3 linked regions of the Ovis aries genome follow. The protein of the gene in region 1 purifies or fractionates together with the protein of each later gene. This does not show direct contact. Links are inferred from orthologs where the notes say so. Each region holds a gene or a part of one and is shown in the gene's direction. Other genes may lie near its edges. The genes, in order: CDH2, CTNNA1 and CTNND1.

Evidence for each region.
Region 2: the proteins of CDH2 (region 1) and CTNNA1 purify together in Homo sapiens (affinity purification with mass spectrometry; 4 studies listed by BioGRID and IntAct, with this or other methods). This does not show direct contact. The link is inferred for Ovis aries from reciprocal best matches to the Homo sapiens genes CDH2 and CTNNA1.
Region 3: the proteins of CDH2 (region 1) and CTNND1 purify together in Homo sapiens (affinity purification with western blotting; 6 studies listed by BioGRID and IntAct, with this or other methods). This does not show direct contact. The link is inferred for Ovis aries from reciprocal best matches to the Homo sapiens genes CDH2 and CTNND1.

Annotation. Positions count from the first base shown.
Region 1 is NC_056076.1:29,193,306-29,197,683, forward strand, and holds part of CDH2 (cadherin-2), read left to right. Parts: intron 1-3,917; coding exon 3,918-4,062; intron 4,063-4,378. UniProt on the Homo sapiens protein: Calcium-dependent cell adhesion protein; preferentially mediates homotypic cell-cell adhesion by dimerization with a CDH2 chain from another cell. Cadherins may thus contribute to the sorting of heterogeneous cell types.
Region 2 is NC_056058.1:47,904,249-47,908,626, forward strand, and holds part of CTNNA1 (catenin alpha-1), read left to right. Parts: intron 1-1,237; coding exon 1,238-1,438; intron 1,439-1,949; coding exon 1,950-2,101; intron 2,102-4,378. UniProt on the Homo sapiens protein: Associates with the cytoplasmic domain of a variety of cadherins. The association of catenins to cadherins produces a complex which is linked to the actin filament network, and which seems to be of primary importance for cadherins cell-adhesion properties.
Region 3 is NC_056068.1:79,778,078-79,783,151, forward strand, and holds the start of CTNND1 (catenin delta-1), read left to right. Parts: upstream 1-1,710; 5' UTR 1,711-1,934; intron 1,935-5,074. UniProt on the Homo sapiens protein: Key regulator of cell-cell adhesion that associates with and regulates the cell adhesion properties of both C-, E- and N-cadherins, being critical for their surface stability.

The DNA of each region.
Region 1 (4,378 bases):
ACTGAGAATTAAGATTTCCCTTTTCTGCATAACCCTGCCAATACTTGGTTTCATTAACCTGCCAATCTGAGCAATCATTTCTCAGATATATTATCCAATTATATTTCTTATGCTAATTTTGTTATTTTTCTATTTTATTCATTTCTTGATTGATAACAGCTTTTATATATAGTTGTGCTGTGTGTGCTTAGTTGCTCAGTCATGTCTGACTTTCTGCGGCCCTGTGGACTTTAGCCCAACAGGCTCCTTTGTCCATGGGGATTCTCCAGGCAAGAATACTGGAGTGGGTTGCCATGCTCTCCTCAAGTGGTTCATCCCGACCCAGGGGTCGAATCCAGGTCTCCCACATTGCAGCCTCCTGTAATTCTTTACCATCTGAGCCACCAGGGAAACCCTTATATATAGTTATATGTTCCTATTTTTAAATATATGTATGTGTTTAAAACTGATTTTCCCAATTAAAAATTGTATTGAGTATTTAAAAAGTCAAGAATTAATACTAAAGTATAAATTCCAGAAAGCATTTTTCTTTCCTTTTTTTTCTAACCATGCTTGCCCATTTTTCTGTAATAGGATTTCAACAATTTTTTTTCATGTGTTTAATAGAGAAACCTAAATTGATCTTTATTCCTACTCCAATTTCTAGTAAAACTTTTAATGAAAGTATCATTTTCTCTTAGAAAAGAATATAGGTACAATGTAAAAACTTTTCAAATAATACAGTATTAGTAATAAAATAAGAAGAATTTGCAATCCCAGTACATAAACTAGTCACTTGTCTTTAAGTTTGGTAATATTCTGTAAGATGTTTCTTTGTGCATAGATTCACAAATATATTTTTTTTGAAATTGGGATTATTCTCTGAAACCAACTTTTGTCACTTAGCAATCATAAGATTTAGCATCTTTCCACATCTGGAATCATTATTTGTTTCTATTACTATTTTTGATTGCTTGCTCTAATATAATTGTAACTATTACCTACTGGCAGATACTTGGATGATTTAGTTCTTTCTACTTTATTTTACAACTATAAATCATGCAGCAATGAATAGCTTTCTGTACATTTTCCCATTATGTCCTCAGAAAAAATTCCTAAAATTGGAATTATTTGATAAATATAGTGAAATTGTTCTCTTGAAGAGTTGTATTGTGTTCCAGTTCCTCCCCACTATAAAACAGATACTTTCCATTCCATTATCAATTCCGGGCATTATTTATTTATTGCCAGTGCTATTTCTAAAAAATTTATCTTGATGCTTGAAGTTGCATACGTTGAATATCCAATTAAAGTAAATTCCCTATTCCTGTCTTATGCTGAATTTGGGGTGGGAAAGTTGTTACCCCTTCCTCCACCCACTTATAATAACCTTTTATCTACTAGAGATGTTGATGCATGATTTTCATATATTTCCTTTGTTGTTATTTGTTTTCAAACTTTGTGTATAATTTTTCCCTCACTGTAACTTACAGGTTTAACGTTATGACATTTGTCCTTCTTTTGAGTTGATCGTGCATTCTGGCTTTCTTTCTTATGTATGAACTGTTGGCTGTGCTGGGCCTTTGTTGCTGCGCGGGCTTTTCTCTGGTTGTGGCGAGCCTACTCTCTAGCTGTGGCACTCAGCCTTCTCATTGCAGTGGCTTCCTTTCTTGCAGAGCACGGTCTCTAGGGTGCAAGAGCTTCAGTAGTTGTGGCTCCCAGGCTCTAGAGCACAAGCTAAATAGTTGTGGCACGTGTGCTTTAGCTGCTCTGCAGCATGTGGGATCTTAGTTTACAGACCAGAGATCAAACCAGTATCTCTTGAATTGGCAGGTGAATTCTTTACCATTGAGCCACCAGGGAAGGCCCCCATTCTGGCTTTCTGGGATTGTTTAAAAAGATCTTTCCTACTCCAAGATGCTAATCTCCTGCATTTTATCTGTTTTATTTATTTATTTATTTATATTTGCATCTAAATGTTTAACCTCTGTGGAGTTTATTTTAGTAAAAAAAGAAAGGTACATAGATCGACTTTGCTTTTCCTTTATGGCCAGCCCAGTTGTCTCAACACTATACATTGATTTAGGATTCCGATTGATTTAGCATCAATGTCATGATCGTACTTAGTTGTCCCATACTTTTTATGCCACTTATGCTAATGTGTTTTTTAGACTATTTTTCTCATTAATATATTTTTTGAATTTTTGCACTTGTACAAATTTTTAAATTATTTAACTTTTGAAATTTGCTATGTAAATACATGTAGATATATGGTAGAATAAGACATCCTAGACATAAACTGGCAAATAAGCATATGAAAAACTAAAAATGCATTTTAAATCCTAAGTATCATTCAATTCTCTCCTCCCAAGGGCCTTGATTGTTTTACCAACCAATGCTCTTAAAAGCCTTATGAGCACGTAATTCTAATGCTTTTTATTAATACATTGTTCTAAAATATAAAGAAGTTTTCAAGCCTTTTACAAAACAGCATCGTAATAGGGAAACCAGAAAAGGCAGCAGGGCTTCCCAGGTGACGCAGTGGTGAAGAATCCACCTGCCAATGCAGGAGATTCAAAAGGCGCGAATTTGATCCCTGGGTTGGGACGATCCCCTGGCATAGGAAATAGCTACCCACTCCAGTATTTTTGGCTGGCAAATTCCATGGACAGAGGAGCCTGGAGGGCTACACTCCATGGGGTTGCACAGAGTAGGACATGACTGAGCACACACACGGATGGAGTAAAGTAGCATCCAGTAGACCAGTCTCTAATTAGGCTGTCCTGTAATTTATGAGTACAAAAAATACCAATCCAAAAATTCAAATATTTCTTCTGTATCAATTCTTACTGGCTGAAATCATGTGGTTAAATCTCAAAAAATATTTTCAGGCCAGTGTTGGGGTAAATTCTTGCTCTCCAGATTCTCACTACTTGCACATAAATGAGCAATATTGATAACAAAATAGAATTAATTATAGAATGGCAGGGACAGTTCAGTATTAAAATCTCTTAATGTAATATATTAAATAAGTCAAGGGAAAAAGAGACTCTATATGTGTTGAAAAGGCTTGTCTAATAAAACTTACAGTTTCATGTGCTAAATAACCTCAAAATTGAAAAAAAACGATATGTTAATTCTTCTTTAAGTTGATAAAGTATATCCAGCAGAAACCAGTAGCCAGCATCATCCTTAACAGGAAAATCATAGAAGCATCGCCTTTAAAAAGAAACAATTCAGTGGAACACTACACAGCCTTTGAAAAGGTTGAAATGGTTTTCTATGTGCTGGATGAAAAGATTTTGAAGATATTTTGCCAAGAGTAACTGACTGATTACATTTGTTTAAAAAGGAAGAGAAAAGATAAAATTTCTAGAAGACCTGTAATACTGAGAACTCAACCTTGGGAGAGGAACAAACTGTCTTATGTACTTTTACTGTTTATGAGTGAATGACTTTTACAATAAAAAGAGTCAAAATTCCATGTGCACACTTCATTCTTTCCGAATTTTCATCTTTTCTCTTGTTCTCTATGACTCCTTTAGGCCAGTTCCACATTTTTAATTACCCTGACTCTTTTGTATGGATTTAGCGAAAGGATTTGGAAGCTGGACAGAACTGGCTTAGGACAGGGGCTCTGTCAATGAACTGAGTAAAGTTACTTAGCTTTTCTGAAGCTTGATTTCTTTGCCGTCAAAGGTGGATCGTTTCTGCTTCACTCTTTTGTATACAGATTAGAGTCATAGAGCTCTGAGCCAGATGCCTATCAGCTGTATCTCCCTTAATAATATAGTTTGGCTAACTTGAATTTTGATGGGAAGAATAGCTTTTGGTTTTCATCCATCTGTGCTGTTTATGGCTATGGTTATGGTATCTTTTATCTTCTCACAGGAGACCTAAATCCATTAAATCATTTCATTTTCTAATCACTCTTGCAGTTGAGGGCACATGCAGTGGATATTAATGGAAACCAAGTGGAGAACCCCATCGACATTGTCATTAACGTTATTGACATGAATGATAACAGACCTGAGTTCTTACACCAGGTTTGGAATGGGACAGTTCCTGAGGGATCAAAGCCGGGTAAGTTGGAAGATCATAATTTGGAGGTTCCTTGAGGAAATACAGTGTTATCCAGCACTCGTATATAAGCTAAATGAGAAATCATGTGAGCCTTTAGTGTCATTTTCTTTCATTCATGCTGCTTTTAGGCAAGACTTAATTCATTATATTTAATTTTTTAAATTTAATTTTGAATTTAAGAAAGCCTCGACATTTAAACTTAATGCTCTATATTTCCTTCACCGTCTATACTGGTTTGTACTTAAGCCAATTTATAGATATAACTGTGTCTTAAACTGGCACTTTTCCTGGTTCAGATACGCTTGTCTGTATCTCA
Region 2 (4,378 bases), on another chromosome or scaffold:
TAACCAGGATGGGAAAGAAATGGTCAGCTGCGTTTCTCGGTCTTTATTAGTTATAATTTTATTTATGTATGGCTCTGCTGGGTCTTCATTGCTGCACCTGCTTTTCTCTAGTTGCAGAAAGCGGGGGGCTTCTGTTGCAGCGTGTGGGCTCTCAGCCTTCAGTAGCTGAGGCACATGGGCCTAGTTGCTCCGTGGCATGTGGGGTCCTCCAGATCAGGGGCTGATCCTGTGTCTTCTGCATTGGCAGGCAGATTCTTTACCACTGAGCCACCAGGGGAGTCCCCAGATGTGTTTCTTAAACAGATTACATTTGCTCTAATTGTCCTGACTCTTCCAGAAAAACCAGTGCATGAACTGTCTTGGTTTAAGGAAGGGAGCATGTCTTTAACAGACACTGCTTCTCAGATTTCTTGTGTGTCTTAAGGAAAGCTGCTTTCTGAGCAGGAAGAAAATAGCCAGACAATGACCTGGAGACTGTGTTGCTCACCCACCGGCCCCATGCGTTGTGAGCCCTATCATGAGGGCTTTCTGCTGGTGGACTGCACAGTTCCTGGTGGTGAGAACATTCCCTTTCCCATTCTGGGTCAGCCCCTGCAGATCTTCATCCATTTCAGTGGCTGCCCAGTGCCCATAATTTATTACTCTGTTCTGGGACATTTTGGTTGCTCCTACTTTGCTATTATAGATGAGGTTAACGTGAACTCCTCATTCTGGGGTTCCCAATACCCAGGGTCAAGCTTTGTCTTTGAGGAAAAACAGTTCTGGTAGATCTTCCAAATCCAACTCCACGAGGCTTTTGCCTGCCTTCCAGGCTCTTCTCATGTTCCAGAGTTGTCCTGATGTCTTGGTCGTTTGTCTGAATACCACTGGCATCTCCTGGAGCGAGGGGCAAGGGACTGGGAATAGTGAACCTTGTCTTCTAATTTAGACTTTGGGATATAAAATCAATGAAATTGTTTAAGGGAAAGAAATTATCAAGGATTCTGAAAGATGGGCGTCTCTGCCTGTCTCTTCTAAACCTGGAATAAAGATGGTTATTCTTGGGGTGATTGCAGGTCCAGTTTCCAGGCAGTTGATCCCTGGGTAGTCTGGTCTCTTGAGTGAATGATGTGCAAAGCTTTTGGCACTGTAGCTGGCACGCAGTGAGCACTGGATGAGTGACAGATGCCAGCTTAAAATCGTCCACTTCTGGTGGGAGGCCTCCTCCCTCATTCAGCTGTTTTTGTTTGTTCCTCAGAGAATCACATTTTGGAAGACGTGAACAAATGTGTCATTGCTCTCCAAGAGAAAGATGTGGATGGGCTAGACCGCACAGCTGGTGCAATTCGAGGCCGGGCTGCCCGGGTCATTCATGTTGTCACCTCAGAGATGGACAACTATGAACCAGGAGTCTACACAGAGAAGGTGCTGGAAGCAACCAAGCTGCTCTCCAACACAGGTGCGGGACCCCTCCCTCACCTGTGCTCCTCACACACAGATGGCCCTCTGGTTAGGAAGTAGGACACTGGGGCTCAGTTTGGTTTTCGGACAAGAGTTCTGGAAGGTACATCGGATTTATGAGTCATTGGTCAGCCACAGTAAGACCACACAAACACGTTTCCCTTACTTGTGTCCCACAGGTAGTAATGGGAGTCGTTCTGAACTCTGAACTTCTGAGTTATATCTCTAGTTAGTGAACACACTAAATTAAGGAGAGTCCCATTCTAGTAAGGCCTCTAGTTAATCCCAATTCAAATTCTCAGCCATCTAAATCCTGTGTTCCAGAATCTGGCCAGAGACAAAGAAGAGGATTCAAGTCTTTGTAAAATATGGCATTTAATTTATTTGAACTATAAATACCTCTCACATAGGTAGAAGCAGAGGCTCTTCATCATACACTCTGCCTCTCTGCATCTGACTGAGGGATTTAGGAGGGCTGGTGGTGATGTTATCATCTCTCTTCTCCGCAGTCATGCCACGTTTTACTGAGCAAGTGGAAGCGGCTGTGGAAGCCCTCAGCTCAGACCCTGCCCAGCCCATGGATGAAAACGAGTTTATTGATGCCTCCCGCCTGGTGTACGATGGCATCCGGGACATCAGGAAAGCGGTGTTGATGATAAGGGTGAGTAACTGCATTTCAGATGTTTTAACAGCTTCCTTCTTATCATTTGCTAAACTTGAGCAATGCATCATTCTGGAACTCAACAGATGTGTTGGCAATATATTAAAACCATGAATCTAAGGGCTGTTAGGAAGAGATATGTTTAATTACATTGTTTAAAATGACTTTTAGTTGCAAGTTAGAGCCCAAACTTGGGCTGAGAAAAGGGGACCTAGTATGAATTGAGGCTTCCTCTTGAGTTAAAGGGCAGTGATAGAAAATAAAGGCTCCTCAGTGAATTTCAGAGAAGGGAATATTTCCTTTATTCAGGTTGAAACTGTTCTTTACATGGAGCACTCCTCACCTCAGAGGGGTGGCAGGCAGGCAGGGTACTAGAGCCCAAGGGTATTGAGGGGAAGGATGAGGGGCTGTGCAGCCCTTGGTGATGCTCCTGATCTCTAGGGCCAAGTGTCGAGCCCTCTCACCGTGGCTGAAGGGAAGTGCCACCTGCTCTGGGCCCCGTTTGACCCGTCCTCTCTGAGCCAGAGGCAGTTCTCAGCGTCTGAGGCAGTGTCTGGGGTCCCCTGGGCATGAACAGTAGGGTTTTGAGAAACCACCTCCTCCGTGATCATCCCGTGTCTTAGGCTGGGACTCACATAGCAGTTGATGCCTCACACGCTGTTTTGAACATGAATGTGTTGCTCTGGAAGTGGAGAGCAGGACCTGTGCCAAGCTCTCCCGGAGTCACCCCCAGGCTCGGGCCAGCCCTGCCGTAGCCACAGAGCCAGCATTTGGAAGGCAGGCCTGCTGAGTAGACGGCTGCTGGCCTCTGCTGACAGTCTAGTCTTGTCGGGAAGCTTCCGTTACACCTTCATGGTTTGCTAGTCCGACCGCCCAAGGCGGACGGGGTTCTGTCCCCCTTTTTACCCCCTCAGCTGGAAACAGAAGCCATTTCTAAGGTAGTTGCATCAGGCTGGATACATTCTGTATGCAACGTAGCAACATTTGGGCATTACTGCACTTCTCTCAGGGGTAAGGAGCAACAAGAATGGCTCAAGGACTGTATGGCTGGCTGCTGGGTGTTCCTGCAGGCCCGGGTCACCTGCACATACTGGGGGTTGGGAGGGGATCTGGGGGAGCCTGTTGCTTTGTTCACCCCTGCTGCTGTGCTGGAGAGCAGCCCATGCTCAGGGAGGCCTGGCCCCCAGAGGTGCGAAGGGGTCCCTGGGTCAAGCGCACCAGTGATGGCAAAACGCAGCCCTGTTTTTCCAAAGTTCTTTGCATGCGGACAGAGAATAGAAGAAACATTAATAATCATGAGTTGCTGAGTGTCTGAGGTTAATGCCTTTGGGGTTTTAAATGAGCTGGCACTGCACACACCCCAGGATACCTGCACATCCAGGGCCTGTTCTGTGGAAGCAGGGTTCCTCCTCACATCTGAGACTCTCAGCAAGTTCCCGCATCTCTCTAAGATGCAGATGATGGTGTTGGTAGCTTGATGGGATGAACTGGAGGTCAGGTCAGGGCCTGGCATGTAGTAGCTGTTTCTTGTGTGCTTACTGCTGTGTGGGATCGTAAGTACAAGAGGCCCTGGCAGGTGTGGTGAGATGGAACCTGGGTGTGGTCACCTGGGAGGGCTCAGGGAGCAAGGACGGGTAGGTCTGCAGCAGCCTTGGTTTAGTTCCTCCTTTTTGTCTTGATTTAATTCAGGAACCATCCTTCCAACCCAGGGCCTCTTGGTTTCTTGATGCCTTGTAGTTAGCCTCTTTTGCCTGGTCCTTGTCATAACCAGCATCCCCATCATCCCTTCCGTCAGCTGCTCCCTTTGGTTCTGTGACTTCCAACAATGCTTTGAGTCCATCAGGATATTCAGCCGGTTGGTCCTCCCCACTTGCAACCCTCCCTCAGCCTCTTGGGTCCTTGTCTCACTCCTATTCCAGCTTCTGTTTCATCAGTACAATCTATTTTGCACCCTTTTACTCCCCTTATTTGCCTTTCAAAATACAGCCCTAGTGAAATTCTGTCTTCTGCTGAACATGGTGCATAAAAGTACAGTCATCTGACTGGGGTCACTGGACCCAGGATGTCAGGGGACTGCTGGTGCTACACAGTCTGGGAACACTTCCTACCTTCCTGCTTGCCTCCCCTTTCCCCACCTGTGCCCCATCCTACCTGTCTGGCCCTGGTAACCGTTTCACTGAGGATCCTAAAAAAGTGAAAGTGAAGTCACTCAGTCACGTCCGACTCTGCAACCCTATGGGCTGTAGCCCGCCAGGCTCCTTCTCCATCCATGGGATT
Region 3 (5,074 bases), on another chromosome or scaffold:
TAAGAACTTTATGTGTATTTTAATTCTTTTAACAGTCCTATGAGAGAGATATAGTTATTATCTCCACTTATAGTTAAGAGACTGAGTCACAGAGAAATTCTATAACTTTTCCAGGGTTGCAGTGTGTAGCATGTGTGTGCTGCTCGCTCAGTCGTGTCCGATTCTTTGCGATCCCGTGGACTGTAGCCCACCAGGCTCCTCTGTCCATGGGATTCTCCAGGCAAGAATACTGGAGTGGGCTGCCATTTCCTTCTCCAGGGGATTTTCCTCAGCCCAGGGATCGAACCCATTCTCCTGAGTCTCTTGCACTGGCAGGCAGATTCTTCACCACTGCGCCCCCTGGAGGGCCACGCAGTATGCCCATTTACTTGCTTAGGTATACTTAGCAGAAACGGGTGCAGCCAGTCAGCCTTACTGCAGAACCTATGCTCTTAACCACTATTTTAAATTATGAAACCTTTATGAAGATTCATTTGGTAGCAGTCTTCAGATTTTTAGAGTTTTCAGTAAGAAAGAAAGAGGAAATTTTCAGTTTATCATTATCATTTTCATATAGTTAATGAAATAGTCTTTGTAAGCATAAAAAAATTTTCAATCTCTGCCCTTCATGGCCTAATAGTCTAAGAACATATTAAAGATAACTCTTAAGAGAAAAAGAATGCCTGTTATAATCCTTTATTTAGGTCAAGCATAAAGAGAATGCACGAACTAGACCTTCTTAAGCCCGAACTTCACAAATGAATTGAACTTTCTTGATGTGAGAGTTTCTTTTCCTTACATGTGCTGTTGTCTCCAAATATATCACTTGTTTATAGGATATCATTTACGATGCCCCTCAAGCCCACGTTATTTTGATTTGGGGCAAATGAGAAGACTGATTTTCTTCAACAGCCTAGTGGATTCAGCTTCCTTCTAGTTGAAATTATGTATGTGTGTGAAAGTAGCTCAGCTGTGTCCAGCTCTTTGAGACCCCATGGATACAGTCCATGGAATTCTCCAGGCCAGAATACTGGAGTAGGTAGCCGTTCCCTTCTTCAGGGGATCTTCCCAACCCAGGGATCAAACCCAGGTCTCCCGGATTCCTTACCAGCTGAGCCACAGGGGAAGCCCAGTTGAAAGTATAGATGCTAAAAATGTTAAGTCGAAGTATTTGTTTTTCTAATTAACTCAAATGCATTTAAACGAAGATAAAATTGAGGATTTACCTCAGATATCCCCTACCATCCCAGTCAACACACTGTAGCCCTCTTTCTAGTGTTGCTTGCTCCTTCCCTTCTTATCTTCCTGTGGGAAAATGGTTTGGGGTAGAAAGCAACAAACCAAATAACAGCAGGCAAATAAAATCAGCTTTTTTTCTTCCCTACCCAGAGAGGAAGGAGGGAGCAAGAACTCCACCATCAAAGAGAACCGTGGTTCTTAGGCATGCCGTTCTAGAAAGCCCTTGTTCCTTCAGCCCCCTTCCCCGACCCCTCCCAGCTCTGCAGTAATCCCTTAGAGATTATATAGTCTCCACTTTAAATATAAATATATATATAAAACTTCCCCCTGTCTCTTTTTCTCCTCCTCTTGCTTTTTTCCCCTGTTTCCTATAATAAAGTTTCCTATTGGATAAAATCAGCTCCCTGATTTATGCCTAGCTCCTATTGGAAGTTCTCAGGGGCTGACATCACTTAGGAAAGCGAGGGGGTAGGGCTGCCAGATCAGTTTGTCACCACCCAGGCTCCCTAGCCTTTGGCTGGGTGCAACTTCCATTTTAGGTGTTGGATCTGAGAGAAAAAAAAGGGGGAGAGAGAGAAAGAAGAGCCGGAAAGATCCTGAAAGGAGGAAGAGGTGGCGAAAAAGCAACTACCTTGCTGGATTTGTCTTTCTCAGCACGTTGACGGAGCCTTGGTTTTCTCTCTTAAAGAAGTGGTTTTCAGAAGTCCACATTTGAGGTGTGTGCCTTTTTAAAAAATATGTGTATAGACGGGTAAAGCAGGATAAGCCAAGTTGAATTTTTGTCTTATGGTAACCGAGGGAATTTGAAGACGAGAGGGTCTGTTATGCTGACGGGTAACTTTTAAACAATTATTAATTTTTCTTTCTACTTATTTGGGGGAATTTTGGTATTTTATCGTATTTAAAGCAAAGGGAGATATTCAAGACCCAGAAACAAACTTCTAGGTCTAATATAGGCAGATGAATAGATTCAGAGGGGTGAGAGCTGTTGCATAAATTTACATTTTGGTGTGGTCTTTGATTGTATGTGTTTTTTTTCTAGGCTGGGCTAACAAACTTCTGTTTTCAGAGCCCAAACCAAAAGTTGTTTTTTTTTGGCATTTTGTGTGTGGGTTGGGAAAGGAATTTGTCCGGGTCGGAAGCATACAGATGGTTCTTCATATGTTTCAAAACTTTTTTTTTCTGCCTTTTATCATTGAATTTGTGAAAGTGGAAAGTTGCAGGGAGCTTTGCAGCTTAAATAGTGATATTTTTCCCCTGGAGAGTTTGAACGGCTCAGATCGGTTTCAGCCCTGCTGTTCCTGGGTGGATCCCTCTTTTACTTTTTCAGGTGTGGTGGGTGGGAGCCTCTTTCGCCTTCTAGACTTAGCCTCTCTGCTTTGCCTTGTAAAAGAAAACAAATAGACCCTTGGTAACTGGATTGCCACCCCCTTCCTTCTAAAACTACCTTTGATGGCAAAGATTTGTGGAGGTGTTGTATGTTCAGTCTGCATATACAATAATGTCTGGTTTTCGTGCTTAAAGGGATAAGGAACCTCTAGCCATGCGCTTTAGCTCACCTGAGTAAAGTCGCACACAAGAGACATTTCCAGCTTTGTGCTCTCTGAAAGAGGCTGGGATTTAAAAAAGGTCAGGCTAAAACACTTAATACAGACCCTAGTGTTTAGGGTGTGTTTGGGAAAGAACAGGGGGAATTCTTATTTTTAAACCAATCTGAAAGTTGCTTTTTGGAGGTGCATTTTTGATTTGGTTAACTTGCTGTGAAACCAGAAATCTTTTAAGATCTGAAGGCCCATGGCTGTGCTTTCATATCTCATGTTTAATCTTAAGATCTGTTTTTGTTTTGCGCATACATTCCTGCAAAAATACTAGACGAGCATATAGCCGGCTCCTCGGTAGCTGAAAACTGGACGTTCCCTTCCTTCTCCGTTTGAAAATTCGAATCATCTGCAAAATTATAACTGCAATAGACACTGCTCTCATTGTGGCAGGATGGTCCTTAATACGTAAGCTGCTATTAGATTTAAACTGGCATGTATCTATAATAATCCTCTGATTCTGAACCCCCCACCCCACCCCACCCCTTAATTCTTTTCAGACTAGAACACTTCCTTGAATTTCTTTTCCAGGACAAGACTATTTCTTGAAAGATGATTTCATTCTTGTGAGGTTGTAGCTTCAGAGGAAACTGAACTTTGTCCCTTCTTTTAATCTAATTTATGCAAGGGCTACAGTAAGATTTTAATGTCTGGATCATCTAATTATAGCAAGTGCAGTTAAAAAGAAAGAGAAAGGACAATGTGTATATTTTGTGGGCTGTACTTACATCGTTTCCAAATTTTCGAATGCTCCCTTCAGCCTTGACTGCAGCCTAGGGGGGTTTCTTGGTGGATCTTTGGAGGATTGGTCATGTTGCTGCCAGAGTGTCAGTTTCCCACTCAGCCTTTAGGGGGAGGGATGAGGGAGTCTGAGCGAGTACAAAGGCAGTTTGAAAATGGGCTCTGGGTGACTGAGTGGTGGTGGTTTGGGTCCAGCTTTACACACTGGGCTTTGTATGGCTGCAGTGAGCATCCTCGCTGCAAAGCGTCCAGGACTGTCTCCAGGAACTGCGGCATTGTTGTGACTGGTGTGTGCTATTGGCCTTTTGGATGATAAGATGGAAGACCCGTCTTTTACCTCACCTCTGCTGGTTCTTCCAGGACATACAGGAAGAGTGTGAATAAGCAAATCTTTTACTTGTTGTTTTGCTCCTCACTTTGGTTTGGGGGTAGAAAATGACAAGTAAGCATGAGTTCTGCGGATTTTCCTGTCCTTGTTTGACTCCTCTGTGCTGTTGGTTTCTTTGTTATAAGACTAAGGTATGGTCTGTGTTCCAGGTGGGGGCCTCCTTTGGGTTTTTAGAGTCTTAATTCCTTTCTTAGGGTTCACTTTTGGAGAGCCAAAGGTGTTAGAACGCGTTCTTTCAGCTAGGATAAAAATGGGGACTGTTGGAAATCTCAAAAAGAAGCTCTGAGTAATTGCAATTTCAGCCTTGGGTTTATGAGGTAGATGATCTCTAGAGATGAGTGAGAGGATGGATGCAAATAAATTAAGCATAGATCATTCTTCAGTTGGAGTAACAACATGATTGGCTCGGCATAACCCCTCGCCTCCTGGCGCCCCTGCCACTGAGAGCCGGCCCTGCCTCTCCCACCCTCGACCTTGTTTTCTCAGTGAGTGCTAACCATTTTGCATGAACTATTAATTTCCTACAGTAACTTTCTGTCTGTTTTCTGGTTTATGTTTTGTTTTTTAAGGAATTTGAGCCTCAGAGAAGCTGAGGTTTGCTAAAAATTTCAGTGCTTGTAAGTGACCAGGGATTAAACCCTGTTCTGACTATATAAAGTTAGTGGATTTAACCGCTAAAACACTGTTCTCCAGAGAGGACAGAAACAAGAGCCGGAACTAAACTGAGCCCTTGCAAGAGGCAGGAGTGCTTCATCCGAGGAAGGTCAGTGCTTGCTTGGAGTTCCTGCATGCTCCGAGGGAGAGTGGCAGTGCACGTGAAAAATCAATTTTCCAGAAAGCTGCAAGGAGCTAGATACGTTAGAAGGGATATTATCTCAACCTTTATTATAGGGATCTTTCCATGTGCACATCATTACTGCCCTGTAATTCTTAAACCTACTGGAAATGCCTCAAACTTTATTTGATTGTCAGTGAAATTTCTTCCAGAGAATTTTCTGACTCGGGTTTGGAATGAATTGCCAATTTGCAGGGAGAGGTTTGTAGCAGGTAGTTCACACTGTGTTACAATTGTGTGTCTGTTTTTTTGGTCTTTTCCCCTATACTGACCTGCTTGAGTGTAGATGCTGTC